Drosophila melanogaster: one gene and its partners. The protein of the gene in region 2 interacts with the protein of the main gene of each other region in a pairwise test. Each region holds a gene or a part of one and is shown on either strand. Other genes may lie near its edges.

Region 1 (8,871 bases), on a different chromosome or scaffold from region 2:
GCACTTGGCGAACGTTCATCTGCGTTGTTCCTGTCATCCCCTGGATGCCAGCTCTCAAAAGTAGGATTATAAAATTGGGGCCACTTCAAAACTATACTTAGCTTAATTGCTAAAGTTTGTTTTTTATTTTAAAATGGTATTCTCTTTTCCTTAAAAGAAAACTTGCGGAATAGTAACAAATCGGGGTCACCATAGTCTATATATTTAGCTAAGTAATGTTCCTAATGAAATGTTGTTTAATGTTGTTTAAAGTCAATTGCAATTTGACAACACGCAAATTGCCATTTGCCGTTTAATTAAATCAGGCAGGGAAGCAATCAGTACGTTAATTAAATATATATCGATCGGGGTCACCATACTCTATTTTCAATCAAATACACTTGGGTTTTGTGCAATTCGGTATAAAGGCCATTTCCATTTGGCTTTTACACACAACGGACAAGGAATTTATCAGTATAATTATCGATTGAGGTCACCAAACCTTACATTCAGACAAATGCAACTTGCGTTAACTGATGTTCGTTTTCCAATGTTCTGTTTAATGGTAAATCATGCCTTCAAATTAAGTAAGTAAGATGCTAGTTAAAAATAAATAGAACCCCCTGGTTGCGCACCATAGCTTGGCTTAAAACATTTCAATTATGGCATGTTAAATGCTCGAACGCACAGAATTCTTATGATGTATATACATAAGCCTTCAATCGCATCAGAAGCCGTTGACAATTGTGGATCAAATCAATGGGCTTCTTCCGTTTCAACTATCTGAAGAACTACCATATCTGGGGAGCCACAGCAAACGGGGCGGAGGAGCTACAAGGTGCGATGGGAATAATGGACTCTCCTCCGTGTCGTCGTCGTCGTCGTCCTCGTCTTTATTTTTATTACATCCCCTTGGGCAGGTTGTGGTGGTATCCTTGAAAAGGTTCTTTGACACAACAAAGCGAGGCTCTCGTCGCCTCAGCATCGACGTCGAAGTCGACGTCAGCGTGTTCAGCTGGCAGCAGCGACATCGTTTTGAGGCAATATAGTTTTTTGATGCGGTTATTATGTCTTTCGAGCATGAAAATGCAGCTGGCTTCGCCACTACACACACACAAACCCAGTCGCAGGGCTAGCTCTTTGGCTATTTTCCCGCCAAAATCGAATAGCTTAAGCTACTATCTATTGGTCCTTTAGGTTTACAAACCAACAGCATATGAACAAATAGATATTTGGCTAACTCCTCTGTTTATAGGAAGTAAAAGATTTGTATAACATAACAGAAAGATAAAAATGATTAAGATTGAGCAAAGTTCAGCTAGTTTTGCCTAGTACATATACTATATTTTGTAATACTAGTGCTTAGTATCAATAAATATCAATAAAATCAACAAGCTGGTAACCCTGGCTATCAAAGAATCCACAAAGAAGACAACTGAATGGTTGGAGGTTCTTTGGCGGCTTTGCCGCTCTGTTTAGTCCTTTGACCCTTCCAAATATAGTCCTGTTTCCCCCCACAGCAACACTGCTCAGTCAAACAAAGGAAAATAAGCAAACGAATGCAGTGGATGGGCAAATGACGAAGACGAATGGAGGATACGAAAGAGAAACAGCGACGAGGACGAACTGCGCAGTCGCAGCCAGATATCCAGATATTACATGATGATAGTGCTGTGCGGCGGCGCACAGGATACAGAAAACGTGTAAGGAACGTCTCTTGGCAGGCCCGAAACAAAAAAAAAAAACAATACCCCAGCCACATGCACAAGCGTAATGAGCCACAGGGAAAGACAAAGGGACGCAACAAAAAGGTAAAAAGGAAACTCGTATAAACGAATGAAAATAAAAAACGTTGGCAGCCAAAGTCGTGATTTTGACTTCAGCGATAAGCAGAGGACTTCGAGGAAATGCGGGGAAACGAAGAAGACAATTGCAGACAGAGGGCAACAACAATTACAGCCTGCTCGTTGTTGTGCCTAAGTCAATTTTACAGAATTTACCAAAAGCGAAAAGGTCATGCGTATAATTACAGGCAGCACAGTGTAGCCATATTGCAAATAGCCAAATGCGACCAAGCTAGTAAAACATAGAACTAAAGCATATCACTCTACTTAGCTTAAAAAGTAAATTGTGTAGCAAGTAATTGATTATTTAACGCTATACGGATATAAATCTGTATAAAATGTACATGTAAGTTTCTCATTGTAAAGGGAAAGTTATAGGTATAAACTATTTTGGTTGCCTTATGGTTTTAAAAACAATTAAGGAAGTCAATATCTTTTGTATGCGACATATGAAAGCTTCTTATGAGAAAGTCTTTCTTAATTCCTGAATAAAAGAGGATACTTTTTTGATATCTTTAGGACGCACACTTTTCGAACTCTAAAAACTGTCAATGTTGTACAATGTTTTTCGGATTTTAAGAAGCTCTCTTCAGTTTAGATTTGTATCTGTGATTTTCACAACTGTAGTTTCACTGGTGTAATGCTCAATGGTCCGGGTACACTGCCCTAAATCCCGCCCTAGCAACAAGGAGATGCTACTCACCATAATGTCTGCCGCAGGTGGATGTGTTGGCCATGGCCGTTCCATTGCCGCCCGGTGTGCAGGAACCAGAGGCTCCTGCTCCTCCGAACGGCGGTGCTCCTGAGCCGCCGGCCACAGCCATACCGCCCATGCCGCTCAAGCCGCCATTGCCTGCGCCGCTGCCTGCAGCGGGCTTCTTCCAGCCGCGCCAGTTGTTGCACAGCGATTCCGGTTCAGAGCTCCAGCTGCAGAGGGAGTCTTCCTCGAAGCGGATGGAGTCGTCGAAGCTGAAGCGGTCCATTTCCTCCGGATTCCATTCGTTGGCCGCTGCTCCTGCAGCGTCTCTGCCCGCCGCTCCGGCTCCTGCGCCGCCTCCTGCTGCTCCTTCGGCGCCAGCGCCGACTGCAGCCGCTCCTCCGCCTCCTCCATTGTTGTTGTTGTTACCGCCGCCTCCTCCTCCTCTGTTGTTGTTGCCGCCGTTGCGATTCGCCAGCGTGAGGCTGAGATTGTGTGTGTTTACAGTTGCTCCTTCTACTGCTGAAGCTGATTCTTGTTCTTCTTCTTCAGCTGCTCCCCCGTTTGTTTGTTTTCCTCAGCTTCCTCTTCCTCCGTCTCTCTCACTGTTACTCTCCTCTCTTTTTGGATGGATGTATATGTATAATGGATCTCTGCCAAACGCTCAATTTAAAATCGTGTAAAAGGCGAATTTCTCTTGAGCGTTCTTCTCTTCCTCTTTTCTCTCTCGCTGTGTTCCTCTCCTTCGGTTCTCCCCTTTCAAACTCAAGCACACTGCCGGACTCGCTTGCTTTTAATTAACTTATTAACTGTAGATTTATGCTTAGGGCTCTAAGTTTCCCTTTTAGACTTAACTTTAGGTTTAGATTTAGATTTTGGGGAGTTTAAAAACTATTTTTGTTTATATGTACAAAATACGTTCAGTGCGCCGCGGTCTCTGTCGCTGCCTCTGCCCGCGTCGACTGCGACTGCTATTGTTTGTTGTCGTTGTTGTTGCATGTGAACTTTTTCGTATCCCCCAACGAACGAGAGAGCGAGATGGGGCTATGCTATGCGACTGCCGAAATAAGAGGGCCAATTTGTAGTTGTAGTTCTTGTTGTTGATGTTCTTGCTTCTGTTATTATTGTTGATGTGGTTCTTGCTGTTGTTGTTGATTTTGCAGGGGACCCCCAGTCGTTGTTATTGTTGTTAACGCTCCTCTTTTATCCGCTCTGCGCTTTGCAGTCCGCTTTGCCGTTAATTATTTTTTCACTCCTTCGCTTTGTGGCTCATCTTCGCTTTATCCTGCGCGCACCGCACTCACTCTTTCTCGCTCGCCCTCACTCACTCACACAGCAGTAGCAGCAGCAACAACAACGTTGCACACAACATCAATATATTGGATATATATCAACACTTTTTCGCCTGCGTGCTTGTCAGTGTGTGTGTGCATGCGTGCGCTTGTCGATTTTCACTGCCTTCTTTTCTTTGTGTGTGTATATGCGCTGCGCGTTGTGTTTGTCTGCGTCTGTGCGTGTGTTAGGTTTACGTGTGTGTGTGAGTGAACGAACGAAATGCGTTTAGCGAACGTTTTTTTAAAAAATCCTTAAATTTTTTGTGGATTTTGGCGATTACCGACACTTAAAACGGCACTGCACACGCGTCCCCGAAAACAACGGCACCTAGATTCGCTGGCCGAGTTACGATTTGTTTGATGCTACGCACGGTTTTCGGACACTTTTACACGGGGCTTTGTTTTTACCCATCGCATCGTCGACTCTTTTGCTCCTAAACGTTGTTGGTGTTAGTGGTCAGCGATAGTGCTCACACACTCGATATGGGTTTTCGATCATTTTCGGCTGAATATTCGATAAGGTCAATAGTATCGGTTTTCCGCGTACGATTTCCCAGTTTTCAAATGACGGTCACACTGACATTCATTCTTGACAATCGATAGTTTTTGTCGAGTGACGCTCTTAATATCGAAAAACCATAAGTAACGATAGGCCCATTTTGTTGGTGGTGTTCACAATCTTCTCGCGCTTTCCCAGGAACTGGTCAAGATGCCCATCGCCGGGCTGTGCATCGAACTGCGCCCGAACCTACGCAGCGGCGTGGTCTTCCTGCGATTCGACCAACAGGTTTCGCAGAGCCAGAAGACTCGCGTCGTCGTCCGCGACTACAATGTTTATATCAGCGAGAAACCTAAGAATCAGGCAATCGACTTGGATTCCAGCTCCGAAAGCGACAGCGAGGACTCCGACAAGCTGATGCTCATCCGGCACGCGCAGTATGGTATGGACATTGTCTGCCTGTCCACGTTCTTGGTCAGTGGCAGGAACATCAGTTTCCGCTTCAACTACAACCAGATTGATCTGGCCAGCGTGGATGGAAGCGCTGTGGACGTGCCTCTGGCGCCACTACTCCTCTCCTGCCAGGAGAACGAGCCCATCACTATCAACTGTCGTGATTGCCGAGCGGAATTGGTGGCAGGCCGAAGCTATCGCAGGTTGAGGGAGTTTCCCAGCCTCTTGGTGGATCCCACTGAGTTCTTTTGCCACAATCATGGACCAGCGGGCAAGACCCAACCAATTAGCTTAGTGCCCGCCGAAACGGATCTTTTCTATGGCCTCAACTATGTGGTCATCAACTTTAACGAAGAAAGTTCGTGCATGCTCAATCGCGACGATCACTTGTACTGCCAGCGCTGCATGCGTTATTTGGGGCTGACCATGTTCGATGGCGCCGCCGCTCGCATCTGGGCTGATGCAGTACGTTGGCGTCCCGCAGGAGCGGCGACAAATGCCCCCGATCGCCACTTCTTCCAAAACTCCACGCTAACGCAGCTTTTCAAGCGTCTGCTGCACTCGCTGTGGCCTCAACCGTTGCCTCAGCTCTGTTTGAACACCAGTCGTGCGGTGCTGGTCACCTCGCTGCCCAACCGAAATCAGCAATACATGTTTTTGCACGTGGTGGAGTCACAGCTGCGTGTGCTGCGTCGCATTCGCCCAAATTCGAACCGACTACGCTGCTTTCGCGCCTGCAAGCTGTACTACGGCGTTTTTGGAGCCAATCCGCCGCTGCTGGAGAAGTGGCAGGCGCAGCAGACGCTGCCCCAAATGGATGTATCACCGAACATGTTCCTAAAGATTCAGAAGCGCCTCGAGACGAATGGCCACTTGATTCCGGACGCCTTGAGCACGAACTGTGCGGAGGAGCACCTGCAGTTGTCGTACTTCTTTTATGAGAACGAGGATCAACACGACGGCGGGGTCGTCGCTTCGGATGTGTTTACGGATCAAATGAGCAACGTGTATCAGAAGGAGGTGGATCCGTACGAGACGGATGCAGGACATGCCAGCGAGAGCGATGACGAGTACTCGGATACGGACACCGCTTCGGGGGACACGGCGGCTTACTCGCTCGGCATGCGTACCCTGCAGAAACGCAGCCCCACTCCGCCGCGGTCTTTCGCCAAAATGGCCACCTCCGCCTCGCCGGAGGACAAGTAGTGACCCAATCCGATTCAAAAATCAAGCATAGCTTGTATGTCGGAAACTATGTTACTTGTTTTCACTATACAAAGACGGACTTGGCCCAATAATTTGTCAAAGATATTTTTTTTTTAAAGTTAGCCCTTGATTGATAATCAATTCCATCCAAAATACTTTACTATGCCTTTGATTCAAATCCTCACATCCTTTGCTTTTGTTTATCGTTATACATTCGCTTAGAATGAATTAACAGTACGCGGAATTGATAACGCCAAAGACTATTTATTGTTTTGTGAAGAAAATTTTGATTTTATTGCTTGACTCGATCGTTATATATATATATGTATATTATATATAGTTTAACAAACGTTTTGCAACAAGTATTAGCTGGATAAACGACTTCTATATATATGTATGTACTAGCACAAATGCAGTGCGTTCCGTGACTGTAAGTGCCAATGTCTTGGCCTTACAGCTGCGAAACGCACTGCACATGTTTTGAAGAAAAGTAAGAAGATTGTTTGCTTTTGCTTACACTTTGACGTTCCCTATTAATTCACTTAAGTTAACGAGAAAAAAATGAGAGTAGAGTAATAGTTTAAAAGTAAAATTGAAATATTGAAAATATTCAATTTTAATATATTTTCAAAGAACTGAATTAACAAGTTTTCCAAAATGTGACTTACCAAAACAAAAAAAAAAACAAAAAATGGACTAAACGAAAAAAGAAAAGTTATTGCTTACGAAAAACATATATTATAAATATATACTAATATACTTCAATATGTTTCCAGAAACAAGATTAAAACAGAATATGTATGAACTATGATTTAGCTGCGTAAACATTTACACACAACTATTATTGTCCAACATTTGTAATTCTGTTCGCAACTACGCATGTCAACGAATAGCCGAGAAAAATTGTAATTTCAAAACTCTGATGTAAAGTATATGGAAAACAACTATTTATATGTATATATTTAAAGTCAAAATGGGATGAATGTAAGGCGGAGCAGTGCGCGCCGTGACTGTAAGACGGTACTACAGACAGTCATGCATGACTCGCACTGTCTGCACACTCGATAAATGTGATTGAAGACGCTTTGGGTAATCTCAACTTGTGTTTAGTTTTAAGCGAAACTCATGTGTTCATCCAAATAAAGAAGAGGAGAAGAAGGCTGCCCGGGATCAGGCGACAAGGATCACCTGAGGAGTGAGGATAAATAAAGTTGGAATCATATACACATTCATTTCATGAAGCAAACGCCTGTTTCTTTGTGGGCTTCGCGGGTCAGCAATGGATGATCACCTGCTCAAGGGGGCACTTCACTTGGCCAGGCGGCGCATCTGCTGTGTCTGCTCACTCATGGCTATCTGAGCGTTGTCCGCCTGGTTGATCAGCGCATCCAGCTTGTCCAGCTGCGAGTCCATGCGCTTCTGCTTGGCCGCCTTGGCGGCGCTGACCTCGGCAGCCGTCGGCGGAGGCTTGGCCAGTGGCTGTTCCTGGACAGGAGGACGCTCCTCCTGGGTGGAGGCGATTGAGCCCGATCTACCAATGCCCGCCGAAAGATCCACCGAGCCCGAGCTGGCCCGGGCAAATATGTTGGTCAAACTGCCACATGCCGTTTGCTTGAAGCGATTCAGCTTCTGCTGCGTGCTGGACAGGATGCTATTGAGCTCGCCCAGCTTGCCGCCCACATTGCCCAGACTCTCGTCTTGTTGCTCCAGCAGCTGGAGAGCGAATTTTAGTGGCGATTCGTATGGTTAGAGGTCATAACATACCACCGCCTCGGCGGCCTCTTGCTCGGCCAACTCGTGCTCCAGTCGTGCCTGCCGTTTGCGCTCGAACTCCGCGGGATCCGGTGGCTGGAGGCCCAGCAGCTCCGCCCGTTGGCATTCCTGCTCGTAGCTGGTGTTCTCCGGCTGCTCCGACGACATGCTTCCGAACACTCTATCACCCAACGACTGGCGATGCCATCGATTTTTGCTGGTCGTGGCCCCAATCCACCCACTTGGTTGTGCATGGAGTGGGCACAACGCATGCGCTGTTCCAGCTGTTTTGGGCCACAGCTGATGCTGAGGCTTAAAGCTTTAACAAACGATGATTCTTAAGTCTAAGTTAGAGTTAGATTAAAGATCAAAACCAGCACTGTTCTTCTACAATGAAACACACTTGTCTACATTTCTCCTATTCAAGGGCCACTCATAGTCGCTACACTCGACTACAGCATATTTTATTTTTTATCATGGAGTTTGTTAACCGAAATATAGTTAGGAGTTATTAAAAGTCAGGTGGATCACGAGGAGTTTGGACAGCGCTCGTAGATTTGGATGTAGGACTCGGTGAGCGTGATCATCTGCGGCAGTATCTCGGTGACATGCAGATCCTGCATCTCGTACCACTGACCGTTGGCCTTGTGCAGGATGTGGGCACGATAGGTGCCCTTCTTGGGATCGCCGTCGTGCACAATATTGGCCACCAGATTGTATTTCGTATCCTTGACATCCTTGTCGCGCTGCCGCATGCCCAGAATGTCGCCAAAGTCCACGTGCCTGAAAATGAAATCCAGTTGCAATTAATATTGTAATAATTCGCGTTTTGACACTCACTTGATGGGAAAGTTCACAATGGTGGGATTCTTTTCCAGGAAGAATGTGTTCTTGGTAAATCGCTTGATGTACAGAATGATGAACTGCGGCAGGCGGGTGATCTCGAAGCGCTTCATAAAGTTAGCCTTGTAGGTCTTGTACTCCTTTTCGGCAGTGCCATTGAACTTGCTCAGCAGCTGATATAAGTTCACCTGCGGTATGATGTTCTCGCGAAACTCGTCGGTGAACAGCGGCGGCGGAGGTAGATCGCATGTGAGGTAGATGAAA
Region 2 (8,223 bases):
TTTAAGCCGCATTTATGCGTTCGTTTATATTTAATTTGCATTCATAAATTTGCATAGGTCACCATTTCACTTCGGCAAAAACCAAAGTATAATAAACTTTTGCGTTTATTTTGCAGCATTTTGCACTGAAAAACCAGCGAAGTAAATGGCGCTAGGCAAATAAACTGGAACTGGGATTGAATTGTCACAGCTGCAATTTTTCAAATGTCAAATCAAAACAGAAAACCAATTACTTTCGATGATTAATTACCACATTCTGAGGAACAAATGCTGCAGACCGCAGAATGATTTTGATTGCGAACTGGGCTAACAGTTCGTTTGATTTATGATGCGATCAACCCTTTGCTGACAAGTCCCCGATGTGACGTGGCACTCATCCCATATTCCCAAAGGACCCCCAATCCAAAGTTTCCTGAACTTGGTCCTGCGACATGGAAATCACCTTAAAATTCATAAGTTAGTCCGGAGGGGGACAAGACAGCAAAATTTACTAAAGGTTCCTGGGGGCTCCAGGGAGAAACCGCAAGTAAAACAGCAGCTGCATGTCATTAAGTATATGGGAACCCCGGCGTAATCCTCACCACTTGGCGCCGCGCAACATGGCGGATGCGTAACGCGACCAACTTTTCAGCGCTTCATTTCTCGAACATTTAGAACACCCAATTTTTGGAGTATATGACACCTTTCCGCCGACACTGCGTTTTATTTAATATTTTTTGCCTATTTTTTTTTTTTTTTTGTTTAAAAGCTGCAGATTATGCGCACAAAAAGCGACAGTTTATGTATGAAATTATGCAAACCAGACCAGCAGACGATAATGATGGTGGTTTGAAATCCTGCGGCTGATGATGATTATTTTCCACAGTCAGGACTCTTTAAGTCCGTCAAGGCCGTCGCAAAAGTGAAAAAAGAGTTGCGCTTTGTTCAAAATAAAAGTGTTTTTTTTTTTTTTTTGGGATTTAATGATTAAAATTAAAAGTGAATTGTTATATGGCTGCATGGAAAATTCATATTTTAATTACAATTTGCTTCGGCCGTAAGTGACCCAAATTTAAATGTATAAAGAAAGAAAGGGTTCCTTTCAACCCTTTGGCAGCCGACAGTGTCCTCAGCTGCATGCCTGGTTGCATAATTATGATGCCAAACTGGTTCGCTGACCAGCAAGAAAAAGCATGCGAAAGGGAAAAACCCCAAAAGTCTAAAACCCAAGTTACTTGAGCATGACGAATGGCTTTGTTGAGTTTACCACTTTTTCAGGAGATTTTATTAAAAATTCCTTAGACACAGGTGCTGTTTGCAAAAGTTTCCAATTCTCCTTCTGCCAAATAATGGGATGGATGGTTTTATTTCTTTGGCGTTCTCTGTGTCCTTAACGCTGGTGAAACCTGTTGTCGAGGATTAAATATTAATGGCACCCATTAATATAATCTTCGGCCATCCGAAACCGATAAAATTTCCCTAATGTCGCGATATTTATTGGCTCTAATTTATGCTCGAGAGAAAGGAGCCCAAAATCAATAACACTTCTGTAATTACTCATTGATTTATTCTACTCAGCTATTCAGGGACGTATTTTCAGATTCTAGGAAAGTTAATTTTTTCGCGGAAACCGTTTTAAGCGAAACCCTCTAAGAGCGGAAGTATACGCGATCTGATATGTTCGCGAGTGCGCAGGTAGTGTTTGTCTTGCGGTTTCTGATTGGCAAGACATCCGAGCAGGTGTAAATCAATCTTAGCTCAGAGGTAACTACTCGTGTGCCTTGGAAATATAAAGATAAACAACAATATGCGTGGCCAATGGGAACGTTTTTCAATCGATTTATAAAATGCTTTTGGTAGTTGTACTTTGGTAGAACTGTATAGAATCATGTAAATTCATATTTATTAACATTTAGATCATATTTTTATAACTTTAAATATGGAAATTAAATACAAAAAAAAAATAGACAAGGATAAGATAAGGTAAATTTATTCATTTTGAGCAAATAAATATGGTTTTCCATCCATAGTTTTTTAACATGACACGTGGAAATTTAAAAATAAATATAATAAGTCTGCCCCATCCAACCCTTTTCTTCCCAAAAATAACAGTTTGAAATTTATTATCAAATGATATATTATAAAGTTATTATTATGGAAGGTACTGAATCAGGTTTGACCTCTTTCTTCTCTTTTTCGCAGCAATAAATTACGCATAAAATTAATTCCAGGTAATGTTATAAAAACAAAGTAAACAAAATCCAGGGATCCTTCGTCAAACTTACCCAATGCACAACGGCATGTAAATCGAAAATTACCAGAAATTGTCACTTTACATCACGCCTGCTGCAGGACCTATAAATCATACTGCACACACACTTATGCACGGGCGACACAGGAGCCACAATCTGGTCTAGTATTTTGGCAGCGCAGATCCTTTCGGGTATGAGTGTGCGAGTGAATATTCAAATCAGTTGCTGGCTGCCAATAAATGAAACTTGCCACACATCTCACTCACTGAGCGCACATACACAAACACACGCCCACACACACTCTTAAATTGTGTCGGGATATTTGAATGGTCCCGTGTATTTAGCAAATGAACCGTACTTTCTGTTCTGTTTAACTTTTTGGCAACCCGCACTAACCAAATATTACAGACTTTAGCACGGCAAAGCGATCGGCGAACGGGAATCAAGCTAAATGCCAGATGAATGGCACCGTCATTACGACTTTCGCAACTCTCGGGCTGCCAATTAACTCGCCCGATAATTTAATTACGGTTAGGGCCTCCAGGATTGGGTCCTGATGTGTTGCCAAGTCTTATCGGCCAGATCTGCGGCAGAGCAATCCTACGGATGAAATACGCTAAAATCACTGGGCTGATTAAGCCGAATCGAACTGCAATCCGCACTCTGCGCGAGCCAAACGTACACTGAAGTCGGCCGAAAGCGCGCTGAAAGTTAAATCGGAAGTCGAGAACGCGGCTGGAGCTTCCAACGGCTCGAGACAGTCCGAGCGGCACTTGCAACATGTTGCAAGTTCGTGTGTGACTTCGGGAATTCTATGTTGTTGAGTCCGGACTTTCGATCTTTGAATTTCTTTCGTTGTAGGGAGTTACTTCTGTTAGCATATTTTTTAATTTTATGTTAACCATTTAAGATACAAACATGAGAGAATGCTATAGTCGAGTTCCCTAACTTTTAGATGCCCCTTACTCAGCTAGTGGGAATACGAACGCGAAATTCGATCATTTTTCTGGGATATCGATGAATGTGAAAACATTTAAAAATTGTTCTAAAGTCTGGGCGTTAGAGTGGGCATGGCAAAAAGTTTTGTGTCTAATCGATAAGAATTAACAAGACTAATAAAATTATAAACAAATTTGATTTGGGCGGTTTGTCGTTAGAGTGGGCGTGGCAACAGGGCCAAAAAATCTGTGCTGCGTCTATGTCTCTAGAATCTGTCCGCTTAATCACAACCTTCTTGCTTTTATAGTTCCTATGATTCTTTCATACGGCCGGCAAGACAGGCGAACATAGCCAGATCTACTCGGTTTTGTATCTTAATTAAATGGAAATTCCTTCTATTTGTTTCAACGAATCTAGTGTACCCTTTTACTCCACGAGTACCTGGTATAAATAGTACTTCTTAGGGTGACAATCCTAAGCAAATATCCAATTTGGAAATCATGGAAATCGGACAATGATTGTTGGCGCGTTGAAATGGTACTTTTTATCGCAGTGTGACCTTTGGCACTTAAAATACTGGTATTGTGTCCTGGAACTTTCAAGATTTTTTGACATATGTTCAAACAGCTTTCTTGTAAATTTGCAAATAAAAAGCAAGGAAACGGGTTCAACTGAATTTGTAAAAAGTTGTAAGTTCCAAGGCAGAATTCATTGGTAGTATTAAAACTGCAAAAACAGGTGCGATTTCAAATGGGTGATTCCAGCGACTCAGACTCTTCTACTGAATGGGAGCAGAACACTAGGGTTATTTCCTTACCCTTTTCCAGAAACCGTTCACATTTGAGCTCTCGCCTCAGTTACCTGGTAAGTTCATGTTCACCCAGCTCTGAAATCTATTGATAATACACTTTATGGAATAGGTGGGACTTCAAATGGAAAACTTCAGGACCTCGAATAATTCTGGAGTATCACAGCGAATCCATAACACCGGGCCCACTCCCGTACTCGCGCCCTCCGGATTAAGATCCCGCTTACTCAGCGGTTCCTCTGTAAGTTATTGTTCTAGCCAGGTCCCACCCAGAATCCATTGGTTACATTACAACATCATTTAATAGGAGCGGAATCCAAATGAGTATTACGGAGACTCGGACTCCTCAAGCAGCAGCAGATCTATCGACAGAACCCCATTCCTGGTAAGTTCTTGTTCGTTCATCTCGATCCGGAATCCATAGGTTTTAATAGCTTTAACTTTGTTGTGCAGTTGGAGTATTCCAGCGACTCAGAGTCGTCTAGTTCCAGTGATAGTGAAAGCTCATCGACCAGCATTAGCTTCGATAGCAGTATGAGCTCCACCGAATCATCAACACCAATGGGACATACAGAATCCTCAGATTCAAACGAGGATTCTCCTCCCAACAAACGGATCAAATCAGATGACGAGGAGTCCAAGAAATCTGTCTTGCCCTACAACTGCCCTGTGTGCCTGGAAGATGTCCGCGAGAAGCTACCAGTGTCCACCAATTGTGGCCACGTTTTCTGCAAAGCGTGCATTAAGAGAGCTGTCGACACTGGCAGGGTATGCCCATTGTGCGGAGTGGATGAGCCCGAATTCCATCGTATTTTCTTGTAAGACGTGATATGGCAGAAAGCATACTAAACTAAAAATACCACGGTTTTAAATACCACAAATAGACTTGTGGCATATACTTTCGAAAGACCGTAACACAATATTCACACCTAAAGAAACTGTTGCTCCATTATAACAACGCAAACAAAATCTTATCCCAGGCAACATACTCAAGAAACACAATGCAATCGAAAACTTTCAGCTGAGAAACTAAAACTCAAATACAAGACAGACAACTTTGGCCATAAAACATGGCGCAAGGACACACTCGCATACTTGCAGGAAACCCCGGAAAAATGGAAGGCAAGCAATGAAAATTCCGACCTACCGCAATAAATTCCGCGGAAAAACAAAGCAAGTGATGCCAAAATAAGAGTGAAATGGCCAGCTCACACACACACATGAATGTAAATGAAGTGGAATCACCACCTCAGAAAAACTCAGGGACACCTCAGACACGGCCCTGTAAATCGCGCTTATCCAAAACACAACATGGCATCAGGAGGCATTGGAGATTCAGTTTCATTTTCATTCAAAGATTGAATAATAGAAGGGGGTGTTCCATCCCTACCCCAACAACCTTTGACCTGACACAATGCTCTACATTCTATGTTTTTGTTCGAGTTGCGCGTTCGAATCGCGACTGCGCAATAAACCTGATGCCCCAAACAGCTGTTCTAGGCAAGACCTAGGACAACATTTGCATCCTTAACTGGAGGCTGGCCATCCACGTTTACATTGACGTAATCCACTTGCCAGGTTGGATCTATTCGGTGTTGAGATATATCACAAAGCAGTTCCTTTTGTACTTTAATTCATTTTATTACTGAACAGCTTATAATAAAAATTCTTTATGTATACGAGAGCTTAGTTGGTTTAGCCCCGGCCAAGGCAAAAAGGAATTCGAACAGCAACATATTTCTCCAGCAGTCTTTTCCAGAAGGTTGATCTTTAAATTGACTTGTTACCGCTTGCTGCCGTATTAATGCCTATGATAGCGGGCGCTTCACCAGCCGCAAGGACACGAGCTGCAGCCACCACAAGGACCACATGGACCACAGCAAGGACTACAGCAACCTCCACAGGGACCACATCCGCAATAGGGAGTTCCTCCCATCAAAGGAGCCAGGCAGCCGGGTGGGCAGGGTCCAACGTAGAAGGGATCGAAGCTGCAGCAAAGCATCAGAACCATCTTGAAAGTTTGGATTTGGTAAAGGACACTGGAATCTCTTCTAAAATCTGCAGGAGGGGCTCAAAAGGTACGGCTGCAACCATTCAAAACGGGGTTTGTTATTAACAAAACATTACCAAATATTTAAAAATTACTATAGGGAACAAAGCAATTTTACAATTTTTAAATTGTATAACTTTTTTATTCAATTTTAACGAACTAGAACGTACCTGGGATTTTTTTTCCTGCTGAAGAAATACGTTGAAGTTAATCCTTGGCTACGAATTTAGAATTTTTGTTCAATTTTTCATATTGTTTTTTTTTGTGTTTTATTTTACGAAAGAGATGTGTTCAGTCCAAGCTGTTCAAAATGAATGAGCTCTCTAGGTTTCGAATCCCACAAAGCCCACAAGATGAGTGAAGTTTATTTCCAAGGCCAACTAGAGAAAACTAAAAATTTCCTTTTTTTTGCTTTCTATTCGACATAGTTGCTGACTAGATCCTACTCCTCTTCGGTTAATTCTGCCGCTGGCGGTGTTTCAGGTTTTACTACTACCGGTTCCGAGTCCTTTTTATCCTTTTCGTCTTCCTTGGAGGAGCCCTCGGAATTATGTTCACTGCCAAACTTAGGAAGCAATGGTCCTACAAAGGCACATGCCTTGCCTCCAATACTTTGTACCACGGAGCAGGCGCCATCCATGCGATCGCCCTCTACTAGAGGAGTTTCGCCCTCGACGGCGGACAGCTGATCCGCCACTGGACCACCGCGCCTCACAAGGTCAGCGATCGGATCACGGGTTTGGTTTAACACCCTGCCACCCACTTCAGTTAACGAACGGGAAACTACCATAAACAGGGCCACTATGCCCGCAACTCCGATGGCCGTGTGAACCATTTCCATATCTTGGGCAAAGGAGCAGGATCTTCTGGAGGATCAGGAGGGTCGATGTCGGATTTTTCGATCGACCACGATGACAAATAATTCTAGGGCTACTCTCCAGCCATCGCCGAGATGGTATTATAGGTCGAACGGGCCAAGTTTCGGATACTTCGCGAAATTTCATTTATCAGGTAGTTAATGTCATCCGAACTGACCACCTGCTCCTGGTCGACATGGTGCTCCGGCGTTGAATCGTTTACAATCAAGACTATTTTACGAACGGGCTGAATCATGCCGGATACATCGATCACGGGCTCCGACACATGGTGATCAACCAGAAATGCCTGATGCATGATGATCACCAATTGGCGGATTACTGGCACCACGCGATCGAGGACGTTGATTGCCATTGGGGCCAGTACGTGGTGTACCACGTGATCCACAGACGAGGACATGACCAAGAGACTTGAATTTTGAATTTAGAAAACTATTTTCACACAATTTGCGACCTGATAAACTAAAATTCCCAGGAGTTCTAATTTGAAATCTAAGCCATTTCGATTGGAATATTTATATTATTTCCCCAGCAATATTCAACAGTTTGGTGACGATGAATCAATTTTATTATTTCTCTACATAGATGTGTGCGAGGCTAATTGGTGTGCAGTTTCAAAGTTCAACTATATTTGTTCCCGCCGTTATTCTTGCATTTTATACAGGTACTCGTCTCGTCAATAGCTGCTATAGCAACGACTGTGCCAGCCACCGGGGGTGTATCCTTTGTAAATGTCGAAGTTGCACGGACATACTGCGCATCTCGGATAGGGGCCAATGTAGAAAGGGTTTATGGCCGGAGTCCAAGGACGACTTAAGTAAACCATTTTCAGCACTCGAAAGAAGTCTGCAAATCTTATTTTATAAATACATCTCCCACATTTTCTCTTTCGAAACTCACCGGAAATGGAAGAGAAAAATGAGAAATTTAAACAAATGTTTGACCAGAACAACACGTTTCGTGCTTGAAATTTGAATGAAGAAAATGCGTATGTACGCTTATGTGTTATTTTGTTGACATTTAAATCAAGAATGCTGGTTTAAATTTATTTGACTTCATTTTAGATAGATCATAAGAAAATGAATTAATTTTATCTGTATTTTTTATCCACAGTTATTTTGTGCTAAAATAGAAAAGAGCTGGTAATTTGAGGTTAATATATATTATTATTGTTTTTATTATTTATAGATATTCATTTTATTTATTTATTATTATTATTAATTTTTTTGAAATATAATGTTACAATATGACGGTTCGATGCCCAGGAGATGATGAGCTAAATGGGTTTAGCTCAAGATGTTTGAAGATATTAGCAACACA
Region 3 (7,240 bases), on a different chromosome or scaffold from region 2:
TTAAGGTCCTGCCGAAACGAACTGAAATTGCAGCGAGTGGAGAAGGAGGAGGAGTAGCTGCTGACCACAGGGATTGTTTGGCTGCTTTTGGTGCCAGGCCAGGGCGTTAATTTGGCTGGCAAATGTCAAATGGCGAGCGCTCGGACACAGGGCGTCGTTAGCACCCACGCCATGTCCTGGCAAATGGCGATATGTCCGGCGGTCTCTTGCCTTGACATGAAATTTTAATACCGCCTTTAAATTTAAGTAGCCTGTGGGGTTTTTTTTTGCATTCGGCTTGGCAGCATTTCAATTGGATTCCCGCCGACCGTCTCGTTTCTCTTATTTATATTTTTATATCCTTGGGAAATGTGTGTATTCAGTTCGGTTCAGTTCGGTTCAGGAGGCCAAATGTCGCTCGATAAATTTCTGTGGGTTTTCCATTTCGCCAGTCTCGCATTTATTTATTTATTTTGAGGCCATTGCTTTGATTTTATTATGTTTGCCGTCTCCAGGTGAGCGGAAAAAAAGGAAAATCTCGGCCGGACTTTGATTTCCACTGCTCGTTGGACCCTGGCTCAAATGTAATATTTATATTATATATTTTGAATAGAACTCGTAATACCTATTTGCATATAGAGGGCATATTTCAATCAGGCCAAGACCATGCGACATGTGCAAATATTTAATTCTTAACTTTTGTTTGTGTGCCTAATGATGACCCGAATGACCCAACTGGCTAGCAATCAAGAGTTAGCTGTTATTGTTGGTGAGTAAATTGTGTCAAGCGGCGTTAGGAATGCATTGCGTACTTTTACTTTGTCCAGCTTGTTTGCCAAGCAATTTGGGCGCAAGATGAAATAGTTAGTTACTCGTACTCATACGCCTCCCTTCGTATTTGTTTTCATTTTATTTTGGCATAATTTTAGCAACAAAGGCAAGGGCACACGCATACAGACACATTCGCAGAGAGCAAGTGCAAATAGTGTAAATGTCCTTGAAAGCGCCAACAACTTTGGCCCTGGCGAAGGCAGAGAAAAAATCAGAAAAGGAGCGAGGAAACGCATGTACAGGTGGGGATTTGAGGGGCTTAACTAATGGGTGGAGATGCATTCGCTTATTTCTCCGGCATAGCCTACTTTTTTGGGCAGCCCTTAATCGAATATTGACCGATTTTTGGGCTAAATCACCAAACCCCATTGCCTTCGTGAGCAACTCAATATGCATGACAGCGAAAATTGAATAAATTAATTCATTGAAAATTATAGAGATTTGACGCTGATTGGCGAGCGAGGAAATGAAAAGGACAGTGGCAGGGGCACAGGCACAGGCGTAAAGACAGGCAACAAGCCAGCACACACGTTTTCTGAATGCACAATTATTAAATAGGCTGACAAAAGGACAACAAGGGGGCGGGTCGGGTCGTGGAGTAGCAAATCCTCTAGAGCGGGCGCCATCGTCGTTTCTACTCGTTGTGGCCTCATCACATGTGCACATTTCGCAGAGAGAAGCATAGAGCGTCCTTTCGCACGGCTCTCTCGTATCGATCCGCAAAACGAGCAAAAGTCAACTGGAAACTGGAAAGCAACCACCAAAAGGAACACATCCTGCCTCCGAGCCAGCCCCCTTCCGAATGCTCCACCTCTACCCATCGGCATTGGTGACAGTATTTCGCACACAGCAAGATGGTCAAAAAACCAGAGTGTACGAGTGGTGAAAGCGGACGAGGGCGCCGCCAGCTCGAATGACTCAACATTTTGTGGTTATGCAGGAGCCACGTGCAAATTATTTTCATTGGAACGTACAGAAAACAAAAAGAGTAAAATAAAGACGAGATACAAAGAACAACACGAAGGTGGTCCAACTCGTCAATGTCAATTGATAGTGAAAGGACTTGCGGGGCAGAAGGAGAACGGCGGCCCGTTGAAAAGGCGTGACACATCACGGACTTGGGTTTCAAAGACAACAACGACGACGACGACCACGACGACACCAGCTGTTGGCAGCTGGTTGGAAAAACGTGCCCCGGATTGACATCCTGGCATCCAGCGCACACTCGCACAATTAAATATTAATGAGCTGAATTAAGTGAAAAACAACGTTAGTTGACTTTGGCTGATCTTCCGGATTAGCCAGCAACTTGTGGCATTAACGGGCCATCACAGCGGTCTTAACTTGTCCAAAATATCAGCCGAATAATTGGAATTTACTTTCATTTATTTCGAGGAAATGAAGGCTGAAACGGCAGTAACACTCTTGTGGGATAAAGCAAACTCAACATAACTAGGGTGTGGAATGCCTGCTAGAGATTGATGAAGTACCCAGAAGAAGCGCGAAGGACGAGGTCAAATGATACGGCGAGGTCGAAAAGAAATAGGGCAGTCCTATCCACTCAGTTTGAGGGAAGTAAAAGAAAAGAAACCAGTCGGAAGTTAGTAAGCATGGAGTTGCTCTTTTCCGTTTGCTGACAGTTCAAGGAATTTCCTTTGGTCAACAAAATTAGGGCAAATAAATTCGCTTGGAGAATTACACTACTGACAGTCTACCATACTAAGTAATACATATATGCCAAGCTGAGAGACTCTTTTGAAGACTGATTTATGCTATATTCTATAACGATTCAAATATTTCAACAATTAAAAAGAAATACAGTCTTCACAATGCGATTTGCCATTTCAAGAATAATCAAACGAAATCCATTTAAACCACAAATTGGCCTGGCATTTTCAAATCGAAATTGCTAGCCAGAAATGTTCAGGAAAGTCAGTCGACTAGCTTCGCAAGGAAGCGGAGCCATATAGGATATATATGGGAGTGAAATTATCGGGCATTTGGATTCCAGTTTAAGCAATTATGTTCAGTCACGTGAGAGCGTGCGGAATGCAACGTAAAATGCAGGATAAGCGGAGTGTGTCAAAACAATGATGAATGTACCGTAAAGGAGCGATTGCTGGAGGGTAGGAACTCCACGGAGCGAAATGTTAAAAGGTACAAATAGCAAGGTCACATTGGCACGCCATGTCAGGTCGACTGAAGTCTGGATTTCGGAGTCACAGTCACGGAAGACTAGAAAGATGGGCCGAAGGATTACCCAGCGCGCATTGTTCGATTCACACTTACCTTTTGCCAGCTTCCTCGCCCTCGAGTCCTTCGCCACCGGCTGCGGCAGCTGCCTCCGGGTCCACGGCGGAGGAGGCCGTGGCCTCCACGGATGTGGATGCTGCTGGAGCGGCTGCGGGCGCATCTCCTGTGGGCGCGGGCACATCCTCGTCGCCAGCGCCTCCTTTAACGGCGCCCACCAGCGAGGTGAATTGATTTGTTAGGCCCGAAAACATGTTGGCTCCTGCTGTTTCTCTCAAGGATTGGTGGTGTGTCCTGACCAGGAAGACGTGCGCACGTTCAACGCTCTCTAGGCTCTCTTGTTCTCGCGGTTCTCACGGTTTTCCACTGCTCTCCCGCTCCTGGCTCTCCAACTTTTACTACACTGGGCAGAGGCAGATAGAATGTCCTGTAATGGGTTTTCCTTTCTTTCAGTGTTTCGTTCGCACCACAGAAGTTTCACTTTCAACGCTCGGCGTTATGTAAATTCTCGCATTTAACTTGAAATTTGAATTTTTCACGCTGCAATTGCTTTGTCCAGATGGCCGAGATGGAAGGTAAAAGAATGGTTTTTATTGCTACTTGGCGAGGCGGTGGGGAAAATCAATAAAACGGACTGGGAATTGCGTGGCTATTGGGCACAATTACACGATAAATACTCTGCGATTCGATCGATTTTCCACATGGACACACGCCACGCTCGAGTTTCTTTTCTTTTTGGGTTTATAGCTATTCGCTATTTGCACAACTAAAGTAATTTGAGTCGCAGCCAATTACCACTTGAGCTTTTCTCTGCCAACTGGATTTTGCTTTTCTTATTTTTTTTCTCTTTGGTTTTCCGTTCGCTGCCAGGAGACTTTTGGATTTTCGGCTGCCCACTTCGAAGGTCCTCTGAAAACTGACGGAGCAGCGGAATGTCGATGTCTCAAATACCGAGCTGGAGTGTCGTCTTCGCTCTCTTGGACTCGGGGATTGGGGATTCTCAGATTCGGATTCTCGTATGCGTACGTTCGCTTTCTCCCTGGAAAAGTGGAGTCCACCCCCTCCTCCGCGTTGCTGGGGCGATGGTATTGCGATTTTCGTGGGTGGGATATTTGTGCGCTGGAATGCGCATGTGTGCTTTGGCGTCGTTTTGCTGCTGCTGGCGCAATTAGACAAACAATTGACACGTCTATGGAAACAACAACTGCGCACCAGTAATGATTATTTTCGGTTTGTTCTCGGCCAGTGCTGCCCATCGAACAGCTGACTGCTGTCGGTCGATAGCTCTACCGATATGTTCGCGCATCTCTGGCTTCTGCAACAGCTGATTTTAAAATTTCCAAGTTCCTATTGCGAAAGTTTGGAAGCCCATTGCAGCATTAGTTTATTTACATCAGCATAATTTTAGCTATAGCTAGATCAAGACATGGAACTTTGTTGATACTTAAAATATTTTTATTTTCAAACCCCAAGAAGCGTGATCTTAAAATCGATCCGATTCTAGTTACCTGGCCTGAGAGTAAAATATTTATACCTAACCGCCTGAGCTAATCCGTGTTAGTTTACAAGAATTCCATTACATTTGTGTTCCTGGAAAGTCGAGCTCTTCTCAGAAAGTGTTTACACTTGTCTTCATGTTCGTAAATCTCTATTTACAGCAACAGACTTTCATTTTTTGTACTTAACACGTAGTTTTTAAATCAATTATCAGCTAATTAGTTCGATTGGGACAACAAGGATACTCAGCGTCGCTGCCGCGATCTGCTCTGAGACTCCTCCGCCGTATCTTGCGCTGCTTCCGTATTTGACGACCTCGGCTGCTCATGGGCCTTAATCTCATGGTCCAGCCGCTCTTTCGCCCGGAAAACCTTTGACTGGATATAGAAGGAGCCGCCTTTGGAGCGTTCGTTGACTTGAAACAGATGCTCGTAGTTCTTGGTGATAGCGTCCACGTTTTTGGGGTCATCTATATTCAGGATCTGCTTGGCTTCCTCCAGCGTCATGCCTGCATTGATAAGTAGGTGTAAATAGTGAAATAGATAGCATGACTGTGTCCAAGACTCACCTGTGCGCAGGTTGGACTCGGCGCTCTTGTCGCCCTGCTTGCCACCACCCGCCCGTCGTGCTGCTTCCTGAGATGCGGCGATCTCCTGGCGCAGCGCCTTGGTAAAGGCTCTTCCCACTGCCTGGGCGCCCAACACGATGATCTGGGCGATATACTTGGCCATGACGGTTTCTTGTATTCCTTGGATTCGTACGTCAAAACACCGGCATTCTATGTGTACAGCTTAATTTTGGGTCTCAGAAAACGTGTCGCTTTAATTACGCAACACCGTAGTGACCCTCCGTGTTCCAATTGTACTATTTAAAAGGCGTCCTTCTAAAAAAATGCATACGTAACTTTTAACACTTAATTTCGAATGTGATTTATAATTGTATTGAGCTACCAGGTAAATTTTAGCTTTTACTCCAGATATTTACTAACGAGCAGGCGGCGAAAAGCAGGTGAAACAGCTGATTGGAGATGGTACACGGCTTTCATAATTAGCTATCGATATATATAATAGCTATATCATCGAGAATCGAAATATTTTTAAAACCAATTATTTAAATATTTTTACCACGACTACTTTGTCATCGATAGCATTTGTCAGTTATCGTTTTTAAAAATTCGAAATTCCCTAGTTAAGCCAATGATTCAGGAACCGAACTGGAAAAAGGACTACGACCGTCTGGTCCGCGAGCATTTGAATGATCAGAATCAGACGAAGTCGCTACAACGACAAATACGGCATTTTCGCTCAAAGCGCGTACGACTCCAGAATGAAATCGAGGCGGAGAGCAGGAGCATGGACGTTTGGGTAAAGATGATGGAGAACTTGCACCGCGGAGTGGAGCGCTTTCAGAAGCACCACCACCTGCTCACGCCCAAAAAGCGCAAGCAGCTGCGCCGCATAATGCGAAAGCTGCCCTTGAGCAGTTTGGATGAGCAGGTGCGACTGATGGAGGTGTCGGAGCGGTTGGTGCCCAAGCCGTGCAAGGAGACTCCTGAACCACCGAAGGGCAACGAACGCCAGTTCATCAAGTACTCAGTTCCGCATCAGAAAAAGAACTGTGATCCTAATAATCAATCCCCCGTGGACAAACGGCTGGCCAGGATATATGCCAATCTGAAGGCTCTGCTAAAAATCCACGAGCAGACCTCGTCCGTCATCGCTGATATACATTCCCTGATCGCCACTATTAACTATTTGGAGCGGGGGCACTGCACCAAGATAAAGATCACTCCAGCGGAGGGCTCCAGGCCGTCAATAAAGGCTACCATCGAATTGGATCGGCTGCGCAAGACCAAGCACGGCAACCACTACACGCGGGAAATTATGGACGTACGTCCTCCGTACATCCTTGACCATGTGCCGCAATTGAAACCAAACATTTTCGACGCTCTGGGGAGAAAGGCGAAAAAATCAAAATCCAAGCACTGAACCGTTTCTGGTGGGGAAAATAATTTATTACTCCAAGAATTAGTCTACTTAGACATAGTCTACTGAACATGCTCTATGCTACGCTAGTTCTGTCCTGCGTCAGTTTGATATATACAATTTACAATAATCTCATTTAGCTCGGGCAAAGTGGTGGCTGATTACAGAGAACAATTTAAATTATATCCAAACCAATAGATTATATCGGTTAATCATTGAACTAAGACTTGGGGACTTGAGGACCCAAAAGTCCGTGTATGGCTAAAATTTGCCTGCCACTTCATCAACTATTTTGTTTTTCAAGAGTTTTCTTTGCCCATAAATTCCCTTTATATCTGTGCTCATATGGCCTGCCTCTGTGCTTTGTGGTGTCTACCGCCGGCTATGGAACATCTCAACAGAATCCCGGATTTGTGTGTTCGATGATGCAGCGCTTGCAGTACTTCTTGACCGCCCGGTAGCCCTCGATGGAAACCGGACAGTCCTGGATATTCAGTTGCTGGAGACCGCGACAATAATATGCGATACACTGCACCCCGCGGTCCGTGATCATGTCGCAGCTGCGCAGGCTGAGCTTCTTCAGGTTCGGACAGCTCTCGGCCAGAGCTCGAAGCCCCGCGTCGCTCACATCGCACTTCCCGATGTCCAAGGCTCGCAGACGTGGACAGGATCTCGCCAGGACCGTAATGGAGTCATCG
Region 4 (6,950 bases), about 14 Mb from region 2:
GCATTATATATTACGACTTAATATTGGACTTTTCGGTGTACTCCAGAGACGCCCGGTGCTCCGTCGGAGCAATTTATATTTCCTTATTGGCCTGTGCGTGTGTATTTCTGACATCTCAGTTGAATCGCCCTGGCCTCGCCCCCTATTTCGTTTTTTTCCGCCATCATTACCATTGGGATTCCACACTAGCGCCCAATTTATAAACGTTTGGCTGTTTGCCTTATCTGGAGCTGCTCCCGGGATCCTTTTGCCTCTCCGCCGGCAGGACACTTGGAGAAAAAGGCGGAACGAAGGACAAGGAATGCCCCGGCCAAGGCAGAAATTTATATCAAATTGAAAATTCTTCCTCCGCAGACGGAAAAATCCATTTATGCGCTCTCAGTAGTGAGCCAACATCGCCTACCTCCCACCTCACCTCATCTCATCTCCTCTCATCCGTTCCGAATCCGAATTCCAACCCGCGGAGTGCATATTTTAGAGGAACTTACGGGCGGAATTACTTTCGTTCGCGCAGGGCGGGAATCGGAAAACTATTCAGGCAATCAGAAGTTGACTTTGTGGCATAAGCGGTGCTCATAACTCACCCAATCCCCGCCCGGCATATGGAAACGAGCAAGTCGCATGGGGAGACTCGGGAAAACGTTCAATTTTCAATGAGCACTTTTCGCTGCAAAGTAGATGGGTGGGTGGTGCTTGGATGGTGCGATGGGCGGCGCCAAGGCTGCTCCTCGCTGGATGAGGCAGTGCCTGCCCTGCAATATTAATGCTGGCCAGGAGCAACGCCCAGAGCGTTAAGAGTGTCAAGCCAAATGACTGACCAGCGGAGACTTCCCAGATGAGGACACTTGGGCCACCACTCGAATCGCACTCTTAATTATTCTGGTCACATCTGTTATGTAAACTGCGACCCATCCGGCCATAAAAGTCCTGCTCCCAAGAATGGCAAAGGCGGCGCCCAAAAGACAGAGACCCAAACTTGGACGGGCTGCAAAAATTAAAAACGAAAGCCACGCACTTGGTTGCTGAAACGGACCAGTGGAGGCTGGAACCTGTTTGGGCATTTTCAAGCCCGTGGCCTCCAAGGCTGAGGACCCGGGACCCATAAATAAGCAGCCGCTTTTCCTGCAGCTCCGAAAGGCAGAGCCTTAATTTTTAAAATACCCGACCCTCGGCTGGCCCATATAACACCTTTGTATATTGGACGAGAACGTGGCCACAGTGGTCTATTGATAATTCGGAACTGAATGGATATAGTTATTATAGTAAATCTTATATCTTATTCAATTCTTTAAAAAAAATGTGTCATACACTTTTTTTACTTATATGGTATAAAACTATACTATAAGCAACTATAAGCAAGTATTTCTAGGTACCACTGTACTATCAACTATCATAGGTTTTTTTCGAGCCACTGCAATCCTCACCTCTGGGCAGCTCAGGTTGCTTTTCCACTTACCTTTTGCTGGGACTTTCCTGCGGGCGACGGCCCTTAACTTTTTTTCATTGTGCTTGATCCGCAATTTCATCAGTCGCGTCCCCTCCTCCAATCCAGCCACCCATTCTGCGCCTGGGAAATCTGCGCGGGTCACCCAAAAACGTATTTTTAATTAATGTTGACCGCAATTTGTGCCTGGTCCTCCGGCAGCAGCTGCTCTTCTCGGTTTCCCGCTTGTTATCATGTCCTGCCTATCAGGCAGGCCCTTTGGGTCGTCACCAGCCAGTTCTTGGGTTATTAAGATATTCATAATAAGAGCCTCCGCGGGGCCAACGACCAAGTGCTAGCATGGATTAGAGCGCCAACAACCAGTTTACCAGTTGGCCACGGAAGCCGTTGCGCGCCTTAGTCGGCGGTCAATGAAACCAATTAACTGTACTCGAAGTGGACTTGGCTTAGCTTGGCCAAGTAGGTCTGCTCGACCATCCGCGGCGTACTAGCCAGCCAGTCCCCTTGTTTCCCTTGGGCAGAAGAGTAGACCGCAAGGGTCTGGTATCGCTGGCAGATGGAATATCAATTACCTGCTGCTGTCGCCCGCTTCCTGGTGGCGAGACAGAACCAGAAACAGAGCAGAAAAACTAACTGAGATCTCGGAGAGGCCAACTAATTGCAGTATAAGAGCTTCCTAAAACCGCAGAAACTCGTTCTTCGGAGACCACAAACGAAAACAGATGACAGGAAAACAGAAACATACACGGTGTAAATAGGCTGTGCCTTGGCAGCAAATGCAATACATTTCGATTAGATGTGGTTTCACAAAATGTACATATATTTACTTAGATGGTTAACCATGGTTTTGTCGATAGAAAGACCAGCCTGGACCGTCGACGGATGATCATAGTCTACTTCAACTTCTTCTTGGGGCGCAGGTTGTTGGTGTGTCCGCACTTCTTCTTGCGGCAGTTGGTGGCACGAGGATGCAGACGGGCGTAGCACTTGCGGCAGATCATCTTGTCGCAGTTGTACTTCTGGGCCAGAATCCTGAGCGAGGGCTCAATGATACCACCACGCAGGCGGAGCACCAAGTGCAGGGTGGACTCCTTCTGAATGTTGTAGTCGGACAGAGTGCGGCCATCCTCCAGCTGCTTGCCGGCGAAGATCAGACGCTGCTGATCTGGGGGAATGCCCTCCTTATCCTGGATCTTAGCCTTGACATTCTCGATGGTGTCAGAAGGCTCCACCTCCAAGGTGATGGTCTTGCCGGTGAGGGTTTTCACGAAGATCTGCATAATGGCGGCGTCACTGAAAGCAATATAAAACATAAATCAGTACCAAATCGTACGATTTCTTAGCGAACTTGTGCGTCCCAAAGAGCGGGCAAAGATTGGAGGTTAGGTCCGACTTGCTGGCATGTTTCGTTCGACAGAAACAGCTCCACCGGTCGACAAGCACCAGTGTCCATCTTTTTCATATCACAAATACGTCACTAAACAACAATATGTTTACATTCTGCCACGTTATTGCGATTTTTCGTTTATTTTTAATATATTTAATGGAAACTCACCAGAGGAAACGTGCAACCAAATGCTATTCAAAAGAAAAAGGGAAAAGAGAGTGTGGCCGCCGCCGAGCACTGCAAATATACCAAAATACTATTTTTTAAATACCAAAACATTCTAAATGGAACTGTAAAAAATATTCAGACACTCAAATTAATTAATGCAAAATATCTTTACCATTTGAACCGAGACCAACTTTACAATATCAACATATAGTTTTTCGTGTTTTTTTATAGCCCAACGCTACCTCACTGATAGCTAAGCTAATTCAAAATTATATTATTATGGCATGAAAATGCTATTTGCATTGTATACAAATAAATTGAAATCAAAACTTGTATATAGAATTATATTTTAGATAAGGTTCAAATATTACATATTACGCATATTTTTTTTTATTGAAAAACCGCCTAATCGATTTAAATTATATTTTTAATGAATTTATGAAATATTTTTTCAGATATTAAACCTTTTGAATTTATACAAAAATATTCAAGTTGCTGTCCATTTTACTAAGAACAATAATTGAATACTAGGTTGTATAAGTATAAGTAAGTAAGTAAGTATAAGTAAGTAAGGGATATACATTTAAGCCAACGATATTCTAAAAATGTGTATTGCTAAATATGTCACATATAATAAATAAATTTGTATTTGACTTAGTGAAAAAAGTATGTCTTTATAGTGAGAACACCGTGCTTTTCCATTCTGCGTCAAATCGATAGATTCTGAAAAATACCCCTTTCGATATCGAAGTTCTAATGGCTCGATAGGTCCTCAACACTTACCTATCGATGACAGTAGCACAAGTTGTGCGGAAAACGGGAAACTAAGGGAAAAGCGTGGAAAACCCTTGAGAACAGAGCATGTCGAAAGCAGGCGAAGATCAGCCCGCAGCAGAGGGTGCGGTAAGTATCTGAGAAACTTAAACCTTTCTCAACCCCAATCACCTGACAATAGCGACCTGGTTCTCATCGTTTTTTCTAGGTGATTGCGGGCAATGGTAACGCTGAGCTGGCCCAAAATGAAGGCCAGAATGAGCAACAACAACCCCCGCCGAATCAGCCCACCCGCATGGAGTCCTTCTTTGCGATGACCAAGTCCCTCATCCTGCGTGCCCTGATCATCTACTTTGTGAGCTCCTTTTTCCGACGACCTGCGCCCGATGCCGCCAGTCAAGGCAAAAGTGTCGCTAATGCGGGTCCCAAGATCACGGCCTGGAATTACTTCGAGAACGGCACGGACTTTGACCTGCACGTGTGGTTGTCGGAGAATCCCGATGTGGTTAACTTCCAGCAAAAGGCGAATCTCCTCTGGCTACAGAAGGACCTCACCTATGGCGATTGGACGTCGGGCGTCAACGGAGATGGCATTTACACGCACAGTTTGAAGCTTAAGACCAGCCAGCATCTGATGAACAATGGCAGTGTGTACCTACATGCCTTTGTCACGCGTACCGGCATGAGTCCCGATCCCAAAGCCCCGAATTACGCCACCAAAATGGGCCACCAGCAACATCAGCTGAACAAGTTCAAGAAGTTGCGTGTGAACCGCAACTACAACTTGCTGGCCAGCGAGAAGGAGAAGTTGGAGCACGAGCTCAAGCATGCGAATCTCAAGGATACCATCGTGTCTCACTGGCATCCTAATCTCACGGTCAATCTCGTAGTGGACCAAACTAACTGGGCCGAGGGATCTGTGCCGCCGCCACTGGATGACTACGTAAAGTTCGTAGACGGCGGTAAGACCTATCTGCCCATCCTGTTCGTCAACGACTACTGGAATCTTCAGCGGGAGTATCAACCCATTAATGAGACCACTCCCGAACTGGAGCTGCACCTCACTTTCCAGCCGCTGGGCATGTTCAAGTGGCAGCTGTATGCCGCCAAACAGATGAAGAACAAGTGGGCTGGCAATATGCTCGGTGAGCTGATGGCCGCCAGCCAGCCGGAGGAGAGTGACGAGGATCAGGACTCGCTGAAGGAGACTCTGCTGGACACCAATATCTACCTGCTGGGCATCACAGTGGCCGTTTCCATACTGCATTCGGTGTTCGAACTGCTGGCCTTCAAGAACGACATTCAGTTCTGGAACAATCGCAAGTCGCTCGAAGGACTGTCTGTACGATCGGTGTTCTTCGGTGTCTTCCAGTCACTAATCATCCTGCTGTACGTGCTGGACAACGAGACCAACTTCATGATTCGCATCTCCTGTTTCGTGGGACTGGGAATCGAGGTGTGGAAGATTCACAAGGTCGTGGATATCAACTACGATCACGATCAAAAGATTCTGGGAGTGCTGCCGAGAATCAGTTTCCAGGACAAGGGCTCCTATTCGGAGAGCTCGACCAAAGACTATGACAAACTGGCCTTCAAGTACCTGGGCTGGGCATGCTTCCCGCTCCTGGTGGCCTACTTTGTCTACTCGTTGATCTACAACGAGCACAAGGGCTGGTACTCATTTGTGCTCAACATGCTGTACGGCTATCTGCTGACCTTTGGCTTCATCCTGATGACGCCGCAGCTATTCATCAACTACAAGCTAAAGTCGGTGGCCCACATGCCGTGGCGCATGATGACCTACAAGTTCCTCAACACCTTTATCGATGACATCTTTGCGTTTGTGATCAAAATGCCCACAATGTACCGGTTGGGTTGCTTCCGCGACGACATCATCTTCTTTGTGTTCCTCTACCAGCGCTGGCAGTATCGCGTCGATTTGAAGCGCGTGAATGAGTTCGGCTTCTCCGGGGAGATGGAGCAGCAGCATGCCGCCCAGAAGCTGGAGGGCAAGACAGCCAATGGAGCCATCGAAGGTCCCCAGGCTGCGCCAGCGATCAAAAAGACAGCTGCACAAAAGAAGCAGGATTAGAAGGAGTGCAGAGCTGTGACCACAGTATGCATTAGCATTAGAAGACGCAATACCATATACTCCACTCCCCCAATATGTATGTAATCACTATCCAGTATACATAGTCAAGTAATCCCGATAGAATCATTCTTAGGGCTAATTGTATGTACGTATGTTTGTGTTTTTGTTTTCCCCTGCCCTCCGCGCTTCTCGCAGCGTTGGAAGATCTAATAAATTAAGCGTGAGATGATCCATATGCCACTGCTATTATCTAATCTGCAGCCCGCTGAGTGGGCTAGACAAATGGGTAGATAAGCTTGCTTATCAGGGCGCTTGAAAATATGTACATATATACTGGCCAGATGGCCCAGATAATTATCACCTCATTTTGGAAAGATACAAGGTTTCTAAATCAATGGATAGTGGCAACTAAATTAACTTATATATCGGTTTATCAATCGATTTTTTAATTTATATTTTCTAAAGCAACTTGAGTCCCATTGATGGTTTTTTCTTGTCAAATGAACTTCACTCATAATTTTCTAAAATAATTAAATACAATTGAATTTAGGTACAGGTACGCAAAGCGGGTACATATAAGTTTTCACATTATACAGCACTACCCATTGGCAATTTACAGCACTGAAAATGGAGCGCGCCAAATTTGAACTGAACTCAAAAATAATTCGTTACAAACCTAATATTTAGAAAGCACTAAATCCAAGAAAAATCTTTTTTACATGAGGAATTTTTGAACAAGACTGAAAATTAAGATTATTAAGATGTAAGAACTAAAGCATTTATTAAGATAAAGTGATTGAGACTGGTTCTGTGAAGTTTAAACTTTTTGGAAGTGAGCACTGCATAGAATCACACCCACGACAAGCGACATTGGCATCCACTGGCATCGAAAGAGCCACAAGAAGCCGCAGTTATTGTGTTGCGTCGTAGGCTCAGCTATTTTTATTGCTTTGCCTTTGTGGCTCTCGGCCTCCAATTGCCAAAGACAGAGCCACCAAACCAGAGCCAGGACTTGGAGCTCGGGGAGCATCGAGCATGGCGTTGGGAGCTGGGCTTTGCGTGTTTTTGTAATATTTCTCAAAAGA

What was found.
Region 1: the proteins of elfless (region 2) and Dora interact in a two-hybrid assay, tested with the Drosophila melanogaster proteins (one large-scale study listed by BioGRID).
Region 3: the proteins of elfless (region 2) and CG5478 interact in a two-hybrid assay, tested with the Drosophila melanogaster proteins (one large-scale study listed by BioGRID).
Region 4: the proteins of elfless (region 2) and RpL40 interact in a two-hybrid assay, tested with the Drosophila melanogaster proteins (one large-scale study listed by BioGRID).

What each region holds. Positions count from the first base shown.
Region 1 is NC_004354.4:18,859,375-18,868,245, reverse strand, and holds the start of Dora (dorado), read right to left. Parts: upstream 4,297-8,871; 5' UTR 2,807-4,296; coding exon 2,527-2,806; intron 1-2,526. Other genes in the region: CG7326 (uncharacterized protein), read left to right, coding at 4,564-6,012; CG32544 (uncharacterized protein), read right to left, coding at 7,321-7,725, 7,777-7,932; Usp39 (ubiquitin specific protease 39), read right to left, coding at 8,292-8,547, 8,605-8,871. UniProt on the Drosophila melanogaster protein: Substrate recognition component of a SCF-like E3 ubiquitin-protein ligase complex that promotes target-directed microRNA degradation (TDMD), a process that mediates degradation of microRNAs (miRNAs).
Region 2 is NT_033779.5:18,007,074-18,015,296, reverse strand, and holds elfless (elfless), read left to right. Parts: upstream 1-3,821; 5' UTR 3,822-3,920; coding exon 3,921-4,034; intron 4,035-4,090; coding exon 4,091-4,219; intron 4,220-4,285; coding exon 4,286-4,363; intron 4,364-4,431; coding exon 4,432-4,800; 3' UTR 4,801-5,654; downstream 5,655-8,223. Other genes in the region: CG31740 (uncharacterized protein), read right to left, coding at 5,804-5,989; CG42635 (uncharacterized protein), read right to left, coding at 6,471-6,869; CG42634 (uncharacterized protein), read right to left, coding at 6,959-7,303; CG42659 (uncharacterized protein), read right to left, coding at 7,580-7,729.
Region 3 is NT_033777.3:15,932,200-15,939,439, reverse strand, and holds CG5478 (uncharacterized protein), read left to right. Parts: upstream 1-5,705; 5' UTR 5,706-5,753; coding exon 5,754-6,545; 3' UTR 6,546-6,740; downstream 6,741-7,240. Other genes in the region: Sap47 (Synapse-associated protein 47kD), read right to left, coding at 3,100-3,314; blp (black pearl), read right to left, coding at 4,803-5,065, 5,126-5,288; Fbxl7 (F-box and leucine-rich repeat protein 7), read right to left, coding at 6,937-7,240.
Region 4 is NT_033779.5:4,223,799-4,230,748, reverse strand, and holds RpL40 (ribosomal protein L40), read right to left. Parts: upstream 3,051-6,950; 5' UTR 2,942-3,050; intron 2,738-2,941; 5' UTR 2,725-2,737; coding exon 2,338-2,724; 3' UTR 2,188-2,337; downstream 1-2,187. Other genes in the region: CG3702 (uncharacterized protein), read left to right, coding at 3,861-3,902, 3,982-5,865.